5 linked regions of the Canis lupus familiaris genome follow. The protein of the gene in region 4 interacts with the protein of the main gene of each other region in a biochemical or structural test. Links are inferred from orthologs where the notes say so. Each region holds a gene or a part of one and is shown on either strand. Other genes may lie near its edges. The genes, in order: UBQLN1, FAF2, RAD23A, UBE3A and ACTBL2.

The links.
Region 1: the proteins of UBE3A (region 4) and UBQLN1 form a complex in vitro, tested with the Homo sapiens proteins (2 studies listed by BioGRID, with this or other methods). The link is inferred for Canis lupus familiaris from reciprocal best matches to the Homo sapiens genes UBE3A and UBQLN1.
Region 2: of the proteins of UBE3A (region 4) and FAF2, one has a biochemical effect on the other in vitro, tested with the Homo sapiens proteins (2 studies listed by BioGRID). The link is inferred for Canis lupus familiaris from reciprocal best matches to the Homo sapiens genes UBE3A and FAF2.
Region 3: of the proteins of UBE3A (region 4) and RAD23A, one has a biochemical effect on the other in vitro, tested with the Homo sapiens proteins (9 studies listed by BioGRID, with this or other methods). The link is inferred for Canis lupus familiaris from reciprocal best matches to the Homo sapiens genes UBE3A and RAD23A.
Region 5: the proteins of UBE3A (region 4) and ACTBL2 form a complex in vitro, tested with the Homo sapiens proteins (2 studies listed by BioGRID). The link is inferred for Canis lupus familiaris from reciprocal best matches to the Homo sapiens genes UBE3A and ACTBL2.

The regions. Positions count from the first base shown.
Region 1 is NC_049222.1:76,346,988-76,351,134, reverse strand, and holds the start of UBQLN1 (ubiquilin-1), read right to left. Parts: upstream 2,816-4,147; coding exon 2,636-2,815; intron 1-2,635. UniProt on the Homo sapiens protein: Plays an important role in the regulation of different protein degradation mechanisms and pathways including ubiquitin-proteasome system (UPS), autophagy and endoplasmic reticulum-associated protein degradation (ERAD) pathway.
Region 2 is NC_049225.1:37,718,192-37,721,706, forward strand, and holds part of FAF2 (FAS-associated factor 2), read right to left. Parts: coding exon 3,467-3,515; intron 1,870-3,466; coding exon 1,784-1,869; intron 1,691-1,783; coding exon 1,599-1,690; intron 41-1,598; coding exon 1-40. UniProt on the Homo sapiens protein: Plays an important role in endoplasmic reticulum-associated degradation (ERAD) that mediates ubiquitin-dependent degradation of misfolded endoplasmic reticulum proteins.
Region 3 is NC_049241.1:49,644,329-49,648,357, forward strand, and holds the start of RAD23A (UV excision repair protein RAD23 homolog A), read right to left. Parts: upstream 2,808-4,029; 5' UTR 2,693-2,807; coding exon 2,621-2,692; intron 1,307-2,620; coding exon 1,145-1,306; intron 978-1,144; coding exon 796-977; intron 661-795; coding exon 605-660; intron 475-604; coding exon 347-474; intron 73-346; coding exon 1-72. UniProt on the Homo sapiens protein: Multiubiquitin chain receptor involved in modulation of proteasomal degradation. Binds to 'Lys-48'-linked polyubiquitin chains in a length-dependent manner and with a lower affinity to 'Lys-63'-linked polyubiquitin chains.
Region 4 is NC_049224.1:35,646,766-35,650,780, reverse strand, and holds the start of UBE3A (ubiquitin-protein ligase E3A), read right to left. Parts: upstream 2,816-4,015; 5' UTR 2,297-2,815; intron 1-2,296. UniProt on the Homo sapiens protein: E3 ubiquitin-protein ligase which accepts ubiquitin from an E2 ubiquitin-conjugating enzyme in the form of a thioester and transfers it to its substrates.
Region 5 is NC_049223.1:43,696,019-43,698,794, forward strand, and holds ACTBL2 (beta-actin-like protein 2), read right to left. Parts: upstream 1,641-2,776; coding exon 510-1,640; downstream 1-509. UniProt on the Homo sapiens protein: Actins are highly conserved proteins that are involved in various types of cell motility and are ubiquitously expressed in all eukaryotic cells.

The sequences.
Region 1 (4,147 bases), on a different chromosome or scaffold from region 4:
TTTGTGGTAATGATCCTGACACACAGCAATTTCCCTTAACAAGAAAAGGCTCAAATCTATGCAATACTTGTTATATCTAAGTATACGAATATTCTAAAAGTTTCAAATGATAAAAATGTTTTCTAAGACTAGAATATATGTTGCCTGAATATTTCAGAGAACTAGATTTCAAAATCTTTTACTATAACCTAGAGCACTACAAAATCCCGGAACAAGCTAATTAGACACGTTACCTGGAAGCTCCCTTCTGCTCTCTGCACTAATTTTAATGAACGAATGACAACAGAAAGCACTTTTCAGAATAAAAATTCAAATGTCATCAGAATAAGTTGCTTCGGAAAAGCTTTAATTTAACCAATTTACTTTGGTTACAGAAAAGTAAAATTAAAACTCCCACAGGCTTTAAAATTCTAATGTCACTCTCACACACACAATATATATATAAATCCTAACAGACAGTACCTCATAAAATAACTTAAATGTACTTTTCTATTTATAAAATATTGACTCTTTCCAATCCTTTACAATAAAATGCTGAAAGCAGGCATGAAGGTGGAGACCTGAATTAGCAATCCTAGAAAGAAGATCTAAGGGCTTCAAAAGCTAATATACCTAGCAGAGCTAAAATGAAAAAGACTGACACTATCAAATGCTAGCAGGGATGTGGAGCAACAGGAACTCCCAAGAACCTTTGGTAGAACCTTTGGTGGAATACCGAATAGTATTCCATTGTAGGGGAATATATCACATTTTACTCTTTATTCATCAGCTAAGGGGTTGTTAATCATCTGGGTTGTTTCTTTTCGACCAGCCTTTAAAAAAGAGCGATAGAAGCTCTTTTTAAAAAGACAGTTTCTCATAACTAAGCCTACAACTACGCTATCACCCAGTCATTCCACTTCTAAGAATTTTAACAGGAAAAACTCCCTCTGTCCAACAAAAAAAGTTTGTATGTTCACAGCAACCAACTGCAAGAAGCCCATGTGGCCCTCAGCAGAATGCATTAATTAATGGCATATTCACACAGTGGAAAACACAGCAATAAACAGGAATTACTGGCATATACAAGAATGCATCTCAAAAACATTACACTGAGTGAAAAGACCTTACCCAACAGAATATATACTATATAATCCCACTTATGTGAAGTTCTAGAACAGGCAAAAACTAATGGTGAAAAAAATCAAAACAGTGATGTATGGAGGGGAGTGATTGAACTGTAAAGTTCTACATCTTGATAAAACTTTGGATCATATAGGTGTATTTGTTGAAAACATTTAATGATACTTGCAACTTACTCTAAAATGCATTCAAAAAGTAAAAGGAAGTAATACATGATTAGTTGCGTGATAAAGCAAATAAAACAAAGCGTCAATTGTAGGTGACGAACTATGAATGTTCACTGTACCATTCTTTCAACTCTGCTAGATGTTAGAAAATATTAAAATGTTAAGAGAAATTTTTATACAATTGGGGACCCCCCCACACACACACACACACAAAAGGTGATTCAGTAGGTGGTAAAAGTTTCTCAGTTGATGGTACACTCTACTTACTGCTCTACTCTATTTACACCACTATTTCCTGCTCTACTCTACACCACCTTTCAGAACGATTATGTAAACCAATATCCCATTTACAGTTTATGAGAAAACTTACATGTACATTTCACATTGTTGTTCCCTCAAACTGTTCCCATTTTAGATCGTCAGAGGTCAACAACTATGCAAAATATTTTCAACAATAAGCTACAACAAATTTGTTGAATTCTTCAAGATTCTTAATTGAACAGCAAAGTTTGTACACCCGAACCCAATTTTAAGCAGTAAATTATCTGGCAATATTCTCCATTAACTCCAATTTTGTTCTCTTGCATTCGACTGCCACCGCTAATATCTGCAAAACGTGGCTACCATCCCTCTAAAATCAAACAAAAACCTTCCCGATGACTGGCACCTAAGGGATGATAAACACTAAAAAGAAAACCGCAAGTCATCAATGAAAGTCATCCACCTTTCTTCCTTAAGGCTAGTACTATTAAGATGTGGCTGAAAACGATTTCTACGTCATGGTTAATTTTTTTTTTTTTTTGAAGATTAGAAGGTAGAAAAGATTTCAGCAATCAAAACGCAGAACTAAATGTACACGTGCTCCTCGCCCCAAAATCGACCTTAAGCTGCAAGCAGGTGAAACAATGGGCACCCACCCACCCTTTTTTTTTTTTTTAACTCAGGAGACAAAACCGCAGAGGAGGCTACCGCGAACCCTCGCCCAGCCCGGCCTCCACCCCGCCCGGAGCGCGGCGGTGGTCCCTTTCCTTTGTGAGCAGCGGGAGGGAGGCGGCGGGGGGCGGGGGGCGGGGGGCGGGGGGCGGGGGCTGGGGCGGGGGCTGGTGGTCCGCGGACGCGGGAGCGGGGGGAGGGGGCGGCGTCGGCGCGTCCCACAGCAGGCCGCGGGGCCCCGCCACAAGCCTCTGCGGTGTCCCAAGGAGCACACCCGGCAACTTGGGTGTGATCTGATTCGGGGCGAGACCCGCGAGGCGGGCCGACAGCACCTCGGGGGACGGTCTCCTCCCGCCGCGGGCGGAGGTCCCGCCGCCACCCCCACCCGGGCCCGCGGCCAGGGCGGCCCTCACCTGCTGCACGGAGCTGTTCTCGGGCACGGCGAACTCCTCCTTCTCCTTCGGGGTCTTCACGGTGACTTTCATGATCTTGGGCTCCGCGGACGCAGCGGCCGCGGGGGCGCCTGCACCTTCGGCCGCGGCGGCGCCGTCCTGGGAGCTCGGAGGGCCGCCGCTTTCACCACTCTCGGCCATGGCGGCGGCGGCGGTGACTCAGGCGCGCAGGAGGGAGCGGGCGAGCGAGGGGGAGCCAGCAGACGGCAGAGCCGGCCGGCCCGGGCAGCGGAGAACGCGGGGCACGCCGCCTCAGTGACAACCGGTGCGGGGCCGCCCTGGCAGGCGAGGGGCCGCGGGGCTCGGCGCGGGCTCCGGCGCAGGCCCGGGCTGGGCGCTCGGCAGCCGCCGTGAGTTCAGACGCCGCTCGGTCGCAGCGACATCCGCAGCCGCCGCCGCTCTTCCTCCTCCCCGCCCCTCCCCCCACGTCCCTCGGCCGGCGCCGCGCAGGGCACGCCGGGTAAGTCGGCTGGCGGCGTCGCCGAGTCATGCCCGGCCAGCCCCGCTTCCAGCCCCGGCCGCCTTTCTTTCCCTGTCCCGGCTCCATGGCCCAGAGGGTAGGCGCAGCCGGAGAGGAGAGCTAAAAGCAAAATGGGGCGGGAGGGATCAGTTCATTTCATTTCATCCCCTTGGCTAAAAAACAAATTAGCGTGTTCTGGGAAGCACGGTAACGGCGCGCGGTGATGACCTCACGCCTAGCGAAGTTACTAGAAAGGAGCTCGACCACTGGGCGACGCGGACGCGCCTGCGCGCTGTGGTTCGGCGGCGGCCCCCGCCCCCTGCGGACCCCGCGGCGGCCGTGCCCGGCCCCTCCGCGCCGTAGCGCTCGCCTCGCCTTTGCGCGCACCCGGGACCCCGGGGAGGGCAGTGGGAGTGCCGGGTGTCGCGGTAACAGCCGTCCGCTTGCCCACTTGTGGCCTTTGAGATGCTTGCCCGTACTGCCCGGTGCGCGGGAGGTGGAAGCTACGTTAATGGAGGAAGGCGCTTCGTCGTAACGAAGGAAGAGTGGGCCGTAGCCACCCTGCGCGATCCCGCGGAGTCACTGCCCCGCGGCCCGGGCGGCCCGCCCTCGGGTCAGCCGGTTGGGTCTGGCGATCAGGCCACCTCTGCTGACAGGCCGCCGCCCCCCGCCCGGACAGCCTGCGCGAGCGCCCCGGATTCTCTGGACGCTGCCCCGCAAAGTACGGGGGCAGAAACGGGGGCCCAAGGGCTGCCCCCCCCCCCCACCTGGGGCGCTTGAATGAAGCCGAGGTGTTCGTTTTACATTCTGTCAAGTTATTCCTGCAGTTCAGATTTTAGGTTCAAAAATCCTTTTTAGTAGAGTGTGGGTATAAATAATTTAATTATCTCCCCCCCCCCTAGAACTCGGGCTTTGAAATGACGTCATTTGCCTTTAAAGATGACTTGCAAGGAATATAGAACCCAGGACATTAGCTTTATTAATCAGTATTGCGCAAATGGAAACCCAGACAG
Region 2 (3,515 bases), on a different chromosome or scaffold from region 4:
GCCAGGAATGGATAGGTGTTCTCTCGTAAAGCCTGCGAGACTGAGAAAGAAGAGTCAACAGGTTAAGGGCAGCCCTACGGATGAACCAGATCAACTCTTAGACTTTCCACAAGGAGCAAGACAGGAAGGTTTTACTCCCCTACTTGGGAATGAAAGGAGGTCTCACTTATTCTCTACATACCTTTTTTCCTCCTAGTTTTTTAATCTTTGCTGTGGTTTTATTTTATTTTTGTGTCCCTATTCCCAGGTAATTTGATTAGAATAGGATAAACTATTCTGGCAGGAGTGGTTGTCATAATGATGCTTGGGAAGACTGCAGAAGTCAAGGACAAAGCCATTTTGGTAAAAAAGGACCTATAAAGAATTTGGCTACTGCTAAGCATAATTTTCCCCTATACTGGGTATCAGGACTAAAGAAAATAAGGCTGTAAATCTCAGCCTTTTATTACTGGTGATGAGATCCACCACTGTCTTCTGCCTTTTCTTCCTCTTACTCAATCCCTTCCTTAGTCCTTTCCTCATGTCTCCCTCACCTACCCCCAACCAAAAGAGCTAGTTTTTTTTGTTCCAAAGAGGTTTTAGAAAGTTAGTTTTCCAAATAAGCAGGATTTTACCATAAAGGAGTTTTATTTATGTTTTTCTTATGGTTTTAAAGAAGATATTTTATAAGCTTCTATAAAAAATATATCTCTTTCTATCAACTACCTTCCATATCCCCAAAGCCATATTAGAGTAGCAAAACGCATGCTGTATGAATTTATCAGATGTTTAAAAACCAATTAGGAGTAAAGATTCAGATTTTAAGAGGTAGGCAAAACATCTTTGATTCTTAGTATCTATGCTAGTATATACTCAAAAGTTGCTGAACACAAGTAACTACAAAGTAACTACATTTTTCTTAATGTATGCTTTATATTGACTTCTAAATATACTTATCTCTAGTGAAGAGTTACTGTCAGCAAAGATCTGAACTTTCTGAATCCCTATCAGCACTCGAGTACCCAACTAATTCAATGTGCAAGAAGCTGTTAAAATTGCTGATGGGGGGCGCCTGGGTGGCTCAGGTGGTTAAACGTCTGCCTTTGGCTCAGGTCATTATCCCAGAGTCCTGGAATCAAGCCCCACATCGGGCTCCCTGCTCAGCAGAGAGCCTGCTTCTCCCTCTATCTCTCTCTCTCAAATAAATAAATAAAAATCTTTAAAATAAATAAAATAAAATCACTCATGATGAGAGTCAACTCCTCAGTAAAAAGCCATTTAGATTAAAAGCGATTAGATTAGTCCTGCTGGATAGGACTGGATGTTTTAAAAATAAAACCTGGCAATGGTTACCTGTAAAGAATGCACTAGAGTCTAACAGACCTGAGATTGCTAACTGTACAATCTCACTTAAACTCTCTGAGCCTGTTTCCTAAACCATAAAGGGAAAATAATACAACCCTCCTTTCAGGACTACTGAGAGGATTACATATGATAATATATAAAATGTAATGAGCACATGTCTAACACAGAATAGTCATGCAATAAACGGCGTGTTTTCCCAGACTATCTCAAAGATATCTCAACAATCTCAATGAGGAAAAAGAAACACAACTTACCCCTATATCCCTCAGGTTTATTTGTGGAGCATGCCCAGAAAAGCATCCTAGTATTTATTAGGGAAATAACTTCAGGGGCACAGAGTGTGTTGCTGTGGAGAGGGATGAAAAGGATATGAGAAGAACTTGCTTACTACAAAACATCAGCAGACAAAAAAATTTAAATAATCAATCAATCCACTTACCGACAGAACTCATCAGAGTCCTGGTGATCATCTCCATGAAGATAAACCAAAAGAAAGCGAAGCTCCCGCTTGGCATCGTTAAGTGCCTGTGAGAAACAGAAGATCACTAATTATTATGACGACTATGCCTTGAGCTTTTCCTTAGGCTAAGAGAACAAAAGGAGAAATGAGGAAAAAATGTGAACAAGAAATCAGATTCTGGGCTCCTACCTTCATACCCCTGGCATTTTTCTCCCTACAAAACGTCCAAGCTAACAAGCTTTAATGAAAAGGTTCGGTGTTAGGATTTAAACTGTATTAGGCACATGAGAGTAGACAGGCTAACAAAGAAAGGTCCCCAACAAATCACAGAAAAGTCAGCTGTTCCCACAGTCTAAAGGAAGATAAAAACGAGAATCTGACCACATGAAAGGGGAGGTGAGAATTTTGCCACTTTACAGCTACAACATCTTTATACATAAAAAATACTGCAAAGATGAGCCTGATCCCAGGCCACATACCAAGCAGGGATGCAAGACTGAGGGACCCAAATACATTCTAAAGAGCACAAAGTTTAAAAGATCTTCAAAGACAACGCAAGTGTCCAAGATTCCTTTGTATGCTTCTGCATTTTGCATAATCTTCAGCACAATACAATTCAATTAGTATCTCTGGAATGACCAATGGTGGTCTACCCTCAGGATCATAGCAAAGAGGGTGCAGAGGTACCAATTTAATTCACAACTGCATCTTTAGCGTTGGTGCTTAATGCTTGTTGAGTAGGGTGGCAGCAGAGCCTCTGAGGAGACCAACTAAGAGAAAAAGCCGATATGGGAGAATCAAAGCAGAAAGCAAGAGTAAGTTTTTTTTTGTGTGTGTGTTTTTTTTTTTTTTTTTTTTTTTTTTACCAGATAGATTCAGGAATACTGGAGGCTGCAGAACAGAACCATCCTTTGGACTATAGACACAGTGTTACTTCTACATTTTTCTTTGGCAAACTCGAGATATGCCTAACACCCACAGAACTCTTAATTTTCACCCCTTAAGAGGTATCAAAGGTTTATGTGGCTTGGGTTGACTGAGATGTGCTGCCTTCAGTCTATGGCCTATGACCTTACTCAATTCTGTGAGGGATCAAAGACGACTTAGACTTTGCCTTTAAGGGGATTACTGTCTGGTATAGGAGATAAAAAATAAACATAATCAACCATGATATAAGGAAGAATGTGAAACTGCTTTAAGTTTTCAAAAAAACTATGAAAGCACAAAAGAAAAGACTACTATTTTAGTTAGACTGCAAGGTAGGCCAGGTAGGACACGTCAATCAGAAAGGGTTTATAAGAAGGGAGTGATATGACCTAGTTGAAGGATGGGAAAGCTTCCATTTAGCAAAAAACGTGAGGAAGGCATTCCAGGTGGAGGGAAAAGCAAAAGCAAAGGCACAGAAGTGAAAAAATATATAAAATATGTTCAGGAAATGGTTTATCTGGAACCTATGGTATGGAGAAACAAGTTATACAGCAAAGACCTCAAAAGGAGGTTGGGATTAGATCAAGTAGGGCTGGTTTTTCTTTTTCTGGAAGCAGTCAAGAGGTAGTTAAGGTTCTTGAGTAAAAGAATGACATGATCAGTGCTGGGCTATGCTTTCCTTTATGGATAGAACCATATCAATAAATTGGCATCTATATGGTTTGTGGCACTGACCTGGCTGTACGTTCCCTGGTAGAAGACAGGGTGTGCCCTCCCATATTTC
Region 3 (4,029 bases), on a different chromosome or scaffold from region 4:
TGTGGCTGGCTGCTCCGACACCTGGCTCTCCTGGACAGAACCATGTTCTGGCTCGGGACTCCCAGGAATTCCCTGTCAGGGGTCCTATTTAGTTCTAACGCATAGACTGCCCACTGCCTCCCTTCTGCATGTTCAGCCCTGGCAGAAGACAGGTGAAGCCTTGGCCCTGCCCTCCACAGGCCCACCCCACCATTCATGCCCAGGCTCTTGCAGGAAGACTTTCCCGGTGGGAATCACAACCCAAAGTCTTCTGAGGACAAAGTTTTGCCTCTCTGACCACCCATTACAGCATGTAAGCCCATGTACTCCCTTGAGGCCTCCCCAGGAGGCAGCAGCCCCACCTCACCGTGAGTAGATACTCCACGGCTCGGTGGGGGTTGTTGTAGCTGGCTCTCAGGGCGGCCACGACCCGCTCCCTCTCATAGCCCATGGACATGATCTCTGTCAGCATCGTCTCATACTCAGAACCAGTCACTGTGGAGGGAGCAGCAAGGTCTGGGTCACCAAGGAGGGAGAAGGGCAGTTCCCAGGCCCCCCACACCCACACAAGGCCCCACAGCTGGCGGGCACCCAACTGCTTCTGCCCCAGGGACCACCCACCCACCTAGTGTGGATGCCGCATCTTCCTCTCGCCCGCTGCTACCTGAAGAAGGAACAGAGCTGCAAATTCAAGAGAGAGAAATCGGACCCTGGCTTCTGGCGGCTTGCCCTCCCCCAGGTATGTGGAAACATGTATGTGTCAAAATGTGCTGGGAAAACAGGGCCCAAGCTGGGGCTTCTGCTCCCTGGCCTTACCCTGACACGGACTCCGGGGATGTCGTGGGGACTGATTCCTCCGATGGGCTCTTGTCCTCTCTGGCAGTAGGTGGGGGATGGGACATGCCTGAGGCAGGGGCCGGAGGGAAGGATGTGGAGGACTCCGGGGCAGCAGTGGGTGAGGCCTCTGGGGGTACTGAGGTGCCTGGGCTAGTTTTGGCCTGTGACACCCAGAAAAAGGAGCAGGCATCAATATCCCTATCTAGCCCCAACATCCCATCCCGTCTCAGCCCCGCCCTATTCATAGCTAATCTCTCCTGGGCACACAGGCTCTTTGTCAGATCCCAAGCTAATTCTCTCACCCTCCCAGCCAGCACACTTTACCCACCTTGGTCACCATAACGACCACGAAATTCTTCTCATCAATGCGATAGTCCCTGATGGGAACGTCATCGCTCAGGATCTTGCCAGCATAGATGAGTTTCTGTCCAGCCACAGGGAAGGCATCACGACCCTTCTCAGCTTCTATTTTCTCCTTTAGCACCTTCACCTGGAAGGAGAGGAACACTCATTGCAAACCTCAAGACTCTTTCTTGATGGGGGGACGGGCAGGGGAAGGGACTGCAGACCTCAATGGCAGAGAAGCTAAGCTTCATAGTAAAGCATGCCAGATCCCACTATTCAACGAAGTATTTACCTAACACTTATTACACGCCAGGTGCTGTTCTAGGAATTGAGCACATAACATAGAAAGGAACAAAACTCAACATAATTCCCTGCGTCTGTGAAGATAACACTAATGCGAGGAAAAGTGAAAAAAAATATAACCTCAGATAACGTAAAATGTGATGAAAAGTAAAACAAAGAGGAAACGAGATTCCTCATTCCACACTGCTGACAGTGCTGTGTTTGCCAAAAACATCTTATACGGACAGCACTAACATAAGTGTGTACATACCGCTTTTAAAGCTTCACTACTGCATGAAGTAGATATCATTACCCCAGTTTTATATTTGAGGAAACAGGCACAGGGAGATTAAGTAGCTTGCCCAAAGTCAAACAGTTGGCGTGATCAAAAAATATGAGTGTTTCCTTTTCTACAAAACGTAGAGTTCAATGTCTCCATGAGGTAGTTGTGCAAAGCGCCAAACACACATTCAATGTCTGATGCGTCCTAAACCTCTTTTCAGCTAAAAACGCAGTGCAATGTTTAGACCACGGGCTCTCACATGAGACAAAACCAAATTTGAAACCCGTCTGCCATTACTTGCTTTATGTGACCGTAGCAAAATCCTCTTATTTCTAAATTCCCACATCTGTAAAACGGAGTGAGTCAAGAGTGCTCAAATGATGTCTGTTTTGCAACTTTAGTAAGATAACACAAAATTGCTCCGCTGCTGGTAAAGAACCGCCAACACAGACCACTGAAAAGTCAGGCCGTTTATTATCATTATCATCGTCACTGGCGTCACCACTCCCAAATGTGGCCACCAACGTCCCGAGGAGACGCCTGCAAAGCTGGGAACTCGGAGGCCCGGTCCCGGAGAGCGTGGCCGGGCCGGGAATCTGAGCCTTCGGCTCCCGCGACCCGCGAGGGCGCTGACATTGGAGCCGGGCCTGATGGGTGCCCCGGGGGTGGGGCCTAGTCTGGAGACCGGCCCTTGAGCGCCATCAGCACAAGTCGCCGGGGGCTGGGCCCAGAACCACAGGGAGGTTCGGGAAAGACAGGCAGGCTGGGACGGGTGGGCAGAGCCCTGCCCGCGCTGTCCTCCCCGCCCCTCCAGTCGGGATCCCGTCCTCCCCGCCCCCACCCCATCCCCCGGCACCCGTCGTTCCCGCCCCCGGGCTCCGGTCCAGCTCCCACCGTCTCGTCAGGCTCCATGCGGATTTTGAAGGTCTGCTGCTGCAGCGTTTTGAGCGTGATGGTGACGGCCATGGCGGGGCCCGAGCGACGCGGCGGCCCCGGGATCCTCACACAACATGCAACTCACGCCGCCGCCATCTTAGCGCCCAGCCGCGCCGCGAGCCGACCGCTTCCGGGGCAGGAGGTGCGCGCGCCGACCACCAGAGCACGTGACCTCCGCCCCCCCTTAGCTTTGGTGGGCATGCGCGAGAGGCTTTTGGCCAGGCATGCGCAGAGTAAACTCGGCTTCCGGAGGCAGCTTCTCATTCAGCACGCATATACGTCACGTGGCTCCCTGAGAGTGACGCCATGCCCGCTAGCGGTGACGTCAGACGGCCACAAAATGGCTCCAACGTCCCCCACTTTCATGATCTTGAGTTTGTTGATTACATCGAACAAAATTTTTCATCTACTTGTTGTAGACACTTGTATTTCTTGTACAAAGGCTTTTTTTGTCTCCCAAATGACTTTTGTTCTAGTGTGGCTACCCTCAAAGGAACCCTTACTCGGGACTGGGAAAAAACACTCAAAAGGTCACCAACAATTAGTTTAAAAAATGAAGGATTAGTTGGCTGAAGGTGATGATGGTGCTTTGGGGGACTGGATGGTGGCAAGGCAGAGTTCTCTCCCAGTTACTGGGTGGAGGCCCTTCCATCCTGAACTGACCATTACCTGCCTCCAAAACTCTTTAGTTTCTCACTCAACGTACGCCCTGCACCAGGGAGTTACCGGACACCTCACCCATTGCCCAACTGTAACCAGGTCCTGCTGTTTTTCCCTTCACAGCAGGCAGGGCCTGGAAGTTCCCACCATAGTAGGCCAGGCTGTTGAGGGCTTCTTGTCTCTCTCCTGCAACAAGGGACATAAGCTCCAGGCCACCTGCTGGACTTCAGTGGCAGCCATAGTAGACCCCAAAAGAGATGGGCTCTAGAGAACCTAGACCTTGTTGGCCTGTCATCTCTGCACCTTCCTTGAGGCCATCTCTTTCCAAGAATTCAAGGATTACCAACATGCTAGATCTACCATATCTGAACCTATATTCTTGATTATAAAAGGAGTAACTTAATTAACCCTGACTGGTATTAAGAATACTTGTTTAAAATAGTCCAATCATCCTAGTCTTGCTCTTTTAACAGTCAAGAAGTATATACGGTTGAGTGTAAAATAGATCTCATGAAATGGTGCTATGGTGTGAGTTCATAGCCCTGCCCTACCCCTTACATTTTGGAGCTTAGCCTCATCAAACTGAATGGGGCAAACTAAAAACAAAGCTCAGTTTGGCATGAAGACTCAATGAGTAATATCTGGAGTCTTTGTAAAGGCGCTTAGAACACACTCTTCTCCCACTGGTTTGAGGTTGTGGGGGTAAA
Region 4 (4,015 bases):
ATTTTACAGATGACAAAACTGCAGCTCACCAAGACTAAGTAACTTTCTAAGATCAAACAAGTAAGGTTGAGCCCAGAAGTAAAAATGGAATCTAATTCCAAAGCTATCTTCCCTGTATACATTATAATGTCTGAATTTATCTTTTCATTTGCAGTGGGGGCAGAGCAGGGAATGTCAAAATCAGCCAAAACTCTGTTATCCCGAATTATCCTAAAAAGAGAAAACTTGTCTTCACTCATAAAAAAAATCAAAAAACTAATTTCTTAACAGATACCTATGTACTTAATGTAATGTCCCTGTTTTGACCAATACTAGTTTAGATATAAACAAAAATGTGCAACATGACAAGTACATAACCAATAATCATTTAAGAAAATAAACATCTGTAAATATTTCAAGTGTTTGGGTTGAAAAATTTAGATATGATGCATAGTTTTGGATTATTCCACTGACTGCTTATTTGAAATGGCAAATCATTTCAGATGTGTGGGGTGATTTTTTTTTTTTCTTTTTTGGAGGGGAGAGAGGAGTACCACTTTAAAAATGATCTAAAGTTTAAGAAATACAACTGATTAAATGTTAAAATCCAATTTTAAATACCCAATAAACCTTATTACATGAGCTGGGCAAGTGGGATGAGAATGTGTCTTCCTCACACTTCTAATAAGCATACTTAAGAAGGTATTTTTTTAAGCCATGAAAAAAATGTACAATTTCAGAGAAGTAAAACAAAAACAGCTTACAAAACCCCTGAAAAGGAACCAAAACATTGTAATATTGTAATTTACTCTGTAAAGTCCTCAAGAACTAGGCAATGTCCAGACAACAGTGTACATAATACTTAGCATACTAGATAATATATATTGATACAAGACTTCCTTAGTTTCCAGTCCCATTCTTGTAAGGAGAAGGTCATTATTTCTTGAATTTATTTCTTGCTTTTGTTGTCATGATTATTAGTTTCTTTAAAAGGCTTCAGGTTCATTCTTTGGTCTTATCAGCATCATCGTGAATATTGTATTCATTTTATTACAAATGTGATAACCCGATTTATAAGCACCATCTACCTCTAAAATTATTTCTATATATATCATGACAAAATTATACTTTTATCTTTCTAAATTCTAAATTTTTACATGGCTTACACAATAATCTGAGTACTTATTAGTCAGAGATTATGAATAAACACTTCTTATCCTTCTTGTCTAATTCACTCAAGATATTTATTGGGTATCCACAGTGACTCTGACAGGTAACTTTTTAACAGTTATACTTCCAAACTCTAGGTCCTTTCCATTTCAGGCCCTTTTCTTCCCCCCAGAATATTCTGGAATAATTTCCTGCTTCTTTCAATATTGCAGGCAGTGGAATTCTCCAAAATTATGGGTCATATCCATATTCCCCTCATATTTACGGAGGGTAACTATGGACTGTAAATCCCATATTACTATTCTTTTACATTTCAACAGCACCCTAGCCACTTAATAAATAGAATCCCAGACAGATTTAGTAATGTTTCTATTTTAGTATGCCCACTGGTCGTTTTTAAAAATTCAGAGACTAAATTATCTTTGAAGGAGTCTAAGTCTACATTAAAATCATTTCTAACAATTTTATTGATTAAAGCATTTGCCACGTTCAATTCTCACTTTACCAACAAAACCTCCACGCCATGACGAAGAAAGAGTCCTTTTCATTTTCTCAACTGAAAAGGGAAAGTAAAAAATGCCAACTGTTTGCAGGTTTGCATTTAAGGGAATTTCTGGCAAACCCGGTAACTCACGTTTAACATGAAAACGCGGATAATCTGTGGACGCGACCCGGGGCTCGATTTCCCACTTCATCCGCCCTCCCCCCCAACCCCACCCCCGCCACCGTCCACCCCCAAATCCCAACCCACCGCAGCGCCAGGCTCAGCATTTTTCACCCACGGGGCCGAGCCCTCAAGAAAAACTCTCCCCTCGGGAGGAGAGGGCCGGCCCTACCAGCCCGGCTCCGGCCTGCTCCGCGAGCCCTTCCACCGAGGCCAACTCTCGACGCCCTGCACGCCCCGCCCCGGGCCCGCTCGCGTCCCCTCCGGCCACACCACCCTCCCTCCGGCCCTCGGCCAGGACTGACAGTTACGGAGGCAGCCGCCGCCGCCGCCGCCACCGCCACCAGAGGCCTAGTCCTGGCAGCAGCCGCCCCCCCCCCCCCACCGCCGCGCGGTCCGGGGGCCTCCCACCCTCCCTCCCAGGCCCCGGAAGGCGGCTCGGCGACACGGACGACGTCGGGAACGGCCCCCGGCCACACTGACCTGCGGTCGCCCCCGCGCCCGGGCCGTGGCCCTCGCAGCCGCGGCTGCCTCACTGGTCGCAGTAGCCTTCGCTCGCCGCCTCCGCCCGCCACCGCCTCGTTCCCTGTCGCTGCCGCCACCGCCGGGGCTCATGCGGGACCCGCGCTTCCTTCTCCGGAGACGGAGGCCGGGAAAGGGGGCGCCGGGGCCGCAAGAGAACCCGAGCTCGCCGCCAGCCGCCGCCTGTCCGCGCTGGGGAGCTGCGGGGCCCGCCGAGCCGGGGCTGGGCTGCGGACTGCTCCGAGCGCGACCCCGAGACGCGCCGAGGGAGGCGCCGCCGCCCGCTGCCCGAAGCGTTGGGTCCGCAAGATGAAGCCCAAGTCCGAGGCGGCGGCGGAAGGCGAGCGCGCAGGCCGGCGGATGGCTAAGTGGCAGCGGGGTGCGTGAGCGGGAGGAAGGCGGTGTGTCGAGGTTCCGGCGAAGGGGATTCAGGCTCTGTCGTCTACTGCCAGTCACCCCGAACCCAGCGCCACCATCTTGGAAAAAAACGCGGATCTCGCGGCCGCAGCGCAAGCCGGGAGGACTGGCTGGGCGGGCCGAGTATCCCAGCAGGCAGCGCGCGCCGCCCGGCCGGGCGAGAGCTCCGGGCCGGGACGCAGCGACGTGAGGCGGGGCTGGGGTGCGCGCGGGCGGGCGCAGCGCTGTGCCCCGCCCTCTCACGCCGGCTCCGCCCCCTGCCTTCTTGCCGTCGTCGCCCGCGCAGGGCCTGCTGGGAAGGGGAAGTGGCTCGGGGCTCCCTGGAGTCCTACCAGGGCTGGTCGCCATCTTGGGACGAGGCAGAGGAGTTCGTGTTTCCATGGAGCCACCTCTGTCTGTGGTGGCTCTATCCCCGCGGAAAGAAGGGGGTAACGCCGGGAGCCCCCTGGAGCCCCTGGGAGGGCTGGACGGCCCCCTGGTATACCCAAGTCCAGGGACGTGCTAGGACATAAACGCTCCCGATGTTAACCGGGATGGGTCCGCCGGGGGGCGGGGGCTGTGATGGCTTCCAGCCCCGCATAGCGGGGCCGACGCCTCCGGACACCGGGCCTTCGATCTCAGCCCCTTCCCGTCAGGCGGCAGCTGTAGGTCCTGCTGTGGTACCCCGAGAGCGTGAGCCACCTTCAGGGGACAAGGTCATCTGCTTGGGCCTCCCGCCGACACAATGTCATCACTGTAGTCGAAGGTGAAAGCCCATCCCTTGGCAGGTTGTTAGGAGATGGTGGCCTCGTGGTCCACACCAGCCGGGGGGATGCTGATTCCATCCCCGTGACAATTGAAGCCACTTAAAGCCATGCGTCTTCATACTATCAAGGTCACCTTTTTATTTAAAAGGGCTTATTTTATGGCTCTGCGACACTTAGCAAAGCTGTAGTGGGATCACTAACAAACAGTATTCCTAATGGCTTACGACTTCGCTAAGCCCCGAAATACTATATAGATCCCATTCATCTGATACTCAATTTTTTTTAAATCAACAGTCTTACATAGCACTGTATTTAACTGCCATTCTTAGAACATTATAAGTCAGATATATGGATACGGCTTCCCAATTATAACCTGTAAAAAAAAAAAAAAAAAAAAAAAAAAACGTAAAAAATAAGCTAGTGGAATTTAAATTATCCCAGAACAATTAATGATAAATGACAGTATTAAATCATGTCCGATTTTTAACTCGGTTCCTTACTCTTTTTTTCATTTTCT
Region 5 (2,776 bases), on a different chromosome or scaffold from region 4:
AGATAGAATATTTTATTTCCTTGGTGCTTATGTATATATGGATATTATTGACCCATATAATTAGTTATCTTTATACAAAGGAGAAAGACAAAACAAAAATACTAACTAATAAGACTTATTGCTAACATACACATTTCTATAGGGTTACATGGCATATTGTTAAATATTTAAAGCATGAACTAGTTTTTAAGGCTTGGAAATGCTAGTTACTCATTCTGAAAGGACATTTCTTAGGATTTTACTCCTTGTCACTCATTTTCATTTAAGCAGGACAACATTTCTTTGAACCTTATAGTGAAGAAAATAGAATCAACTCTCCTTGAGTTGATAAAGGTCAAGATGTGGTTAGCTGGGCAGGAGCCCAGAGTACTCTAATGGAGATCAGTTTGCTGGCTCTATACTAGCAAGAGCAGAGTATTTACCTTGACTCAATGGAAAGTGGATAAAAGCAGTACCATTACTATGACCTAGAGAAGGAAAAGATGTAAACCCATTAGCACGAAGACCAGTCAGAAACATTTTCTATGAACTATGGGAGGACCAGCCTCATCGTATTCCTGCTTACTGATCCACATCTGCTGGAATGTAGACAGGCTGGCCAGAATAGAGCCCCCAATCCAAACGGAATACTTCCTCTCTGGGGGAGCTATGATCTTGATTTTCATGGTGCTAGGTGCCAAAGTCATGATTTCCTTCTGCATCCTGTCAGCAATGCCAGGGTACATAGTGCTGCCTCCAGACAACACGATGTTGGCATATAGATCCTTGCGAATATCCACATCACACTTCATGATAGAGTTGAAAGTCGTCTCATGGATCCCACTGGACTCAATGCCCAAAAAGGAAGGCTGAAAAATGGATTCAGGGCATCGAAAGCGTTCATTCCCAAGGGTGATCACTTGCCCATCTGGAAGCTCGTAGCTCCTTTCAAGTGAAGAGGATGCAGCAGCACTGCCCATCTCTTGCTCAAAGTCCAGGGCCACGTAGCACAGCTTCTCTTTGACATCACGAACAATTTCCCGCTCAGCTGTGGTGGTGAAGTTGTAGCCTCGTTCTGTCAGAATCTTCATGAGGTAGTCGGTCAGGTCTCTGCCAGCCAGGTCCAGACGTAGAATGGCATGAGGCAGGGCGTAACCTTCATAGATGGGCACAGTGTGAGTAACCCCATCCCCAGAATCCATCACGATACCTGTGGTCCTCCCAGAGGCATAGAGGGACAGCACGGCCTGGATAGCCACATACATGGCCGGTGTATTGAAGGCCTCAAACATGATCTGAGTCATCTTTTCCCGGTTGATCTTGGGGTTGAGGGGTGCCTCGGTGAGAAGGATGGGATGCTCATCTGGTGCCACACGGAGCTCGTTGTAGAAAGTGTGGTGCCAGATCTTCTCCATGTCATCCCAGTTGGTGACCACTCCATGCTCAATGGGATACTTCAGAGTCAGGATGCCTCTCTTGCTCTGAGCTTCATCCCCCACATAGCAGTCTTTCTGGCCCATGCCGACCATGACCCCCTGATGCCGGGGACGCCCTACCATGGATGGGAACACAGCCCGGGGGGCATCATCACCACCAAAGCCTGCCTTGCACATTCCTGACCCATTATCTACCACCAAGGCAGATAGCTCATCATCGGTCATGGCGCTGGCTGGAATCTTCCAGGCAGGTGAACAAAAGTTAAATATAGAGTAAATAGCAGACTACAGTGTCAAGTGAGAGAAGGAACAGATTGAGACACTCTGGAACTGCTTTCAGAGAGGAAATCCTGTGCTGTGATGACAAGTATTTAAAGGTACACACTGGCCCCACCCATGTCCTGTCCCACCAGTTCCCATCATTTCTGGGTGAGGTTGCCTTTGAGGTATTAATAATGATGATGATGATTATACAAATCATTAGTAGACCTTCCTTCATAAAGAGAAAATTGGCTACCAAAAGTAGCCAAATCTGAGGTTACTGTAATTAGGCAACCCACACATGGTTGTCAGCATGCTTTGGCTCAGTCTCTAGATAACGATGATGATGCAGTGGGGGATGTAAGAGCAAGATGAAAGAATGCTAGTGAGAGGTAGGAGTAACACTGCTGGGAGGACCGCTCCCTCCTCACTTTACCCTCTGGATTCATCTTCTCCACACTAGCTTTAACTTTTCATTCTTAATATATTGTTCTCATGAGGAGCCCAATGCCGAATATTTTACTTTTTCAAGATTTTCTTTCCCATTGAGATCCTAATCCCACAGGATGTTATCATGATTGAAATTGTTTTAATGGATGAAGATAATGAACGGCCAAGGGTGGCCCGACAGCTGTACTTACCATACATTTGTGTTGTGCAAAACTTAGGGCTATTTAATAGACTTCTAATCCATTAGACAACAACTAAAAGCATAAAATGATCAATAAAGTAAACCACTTCAGATTTTCTTTCTTGATATAAATGTCTAACAGCCAAATTATATTAAGCACTTACTATGCCCAGGCACTGTTCAGGGTTATTGGGTCCATGTTGACTGCATAGAGGCTCAATGATTAATTGTGTTACATGATTTGTTAGATAAAATGCAGATTATAAAAATTTTATTCATTTATAATAACTCTTTAGGTCAAAAATAAACATAATTAAGTGATAAGATAAATTTTAAAATTATATATTTGAGCTGATCTTTAAAACATTTTGATCTTCAAGATTCATGTACTGTATTATAACATCATGCCTCTATAGTTATAAAAACGTACGTACTTGGAATAGTGTTAGCTTTCCTTTTCCTTTGGTTT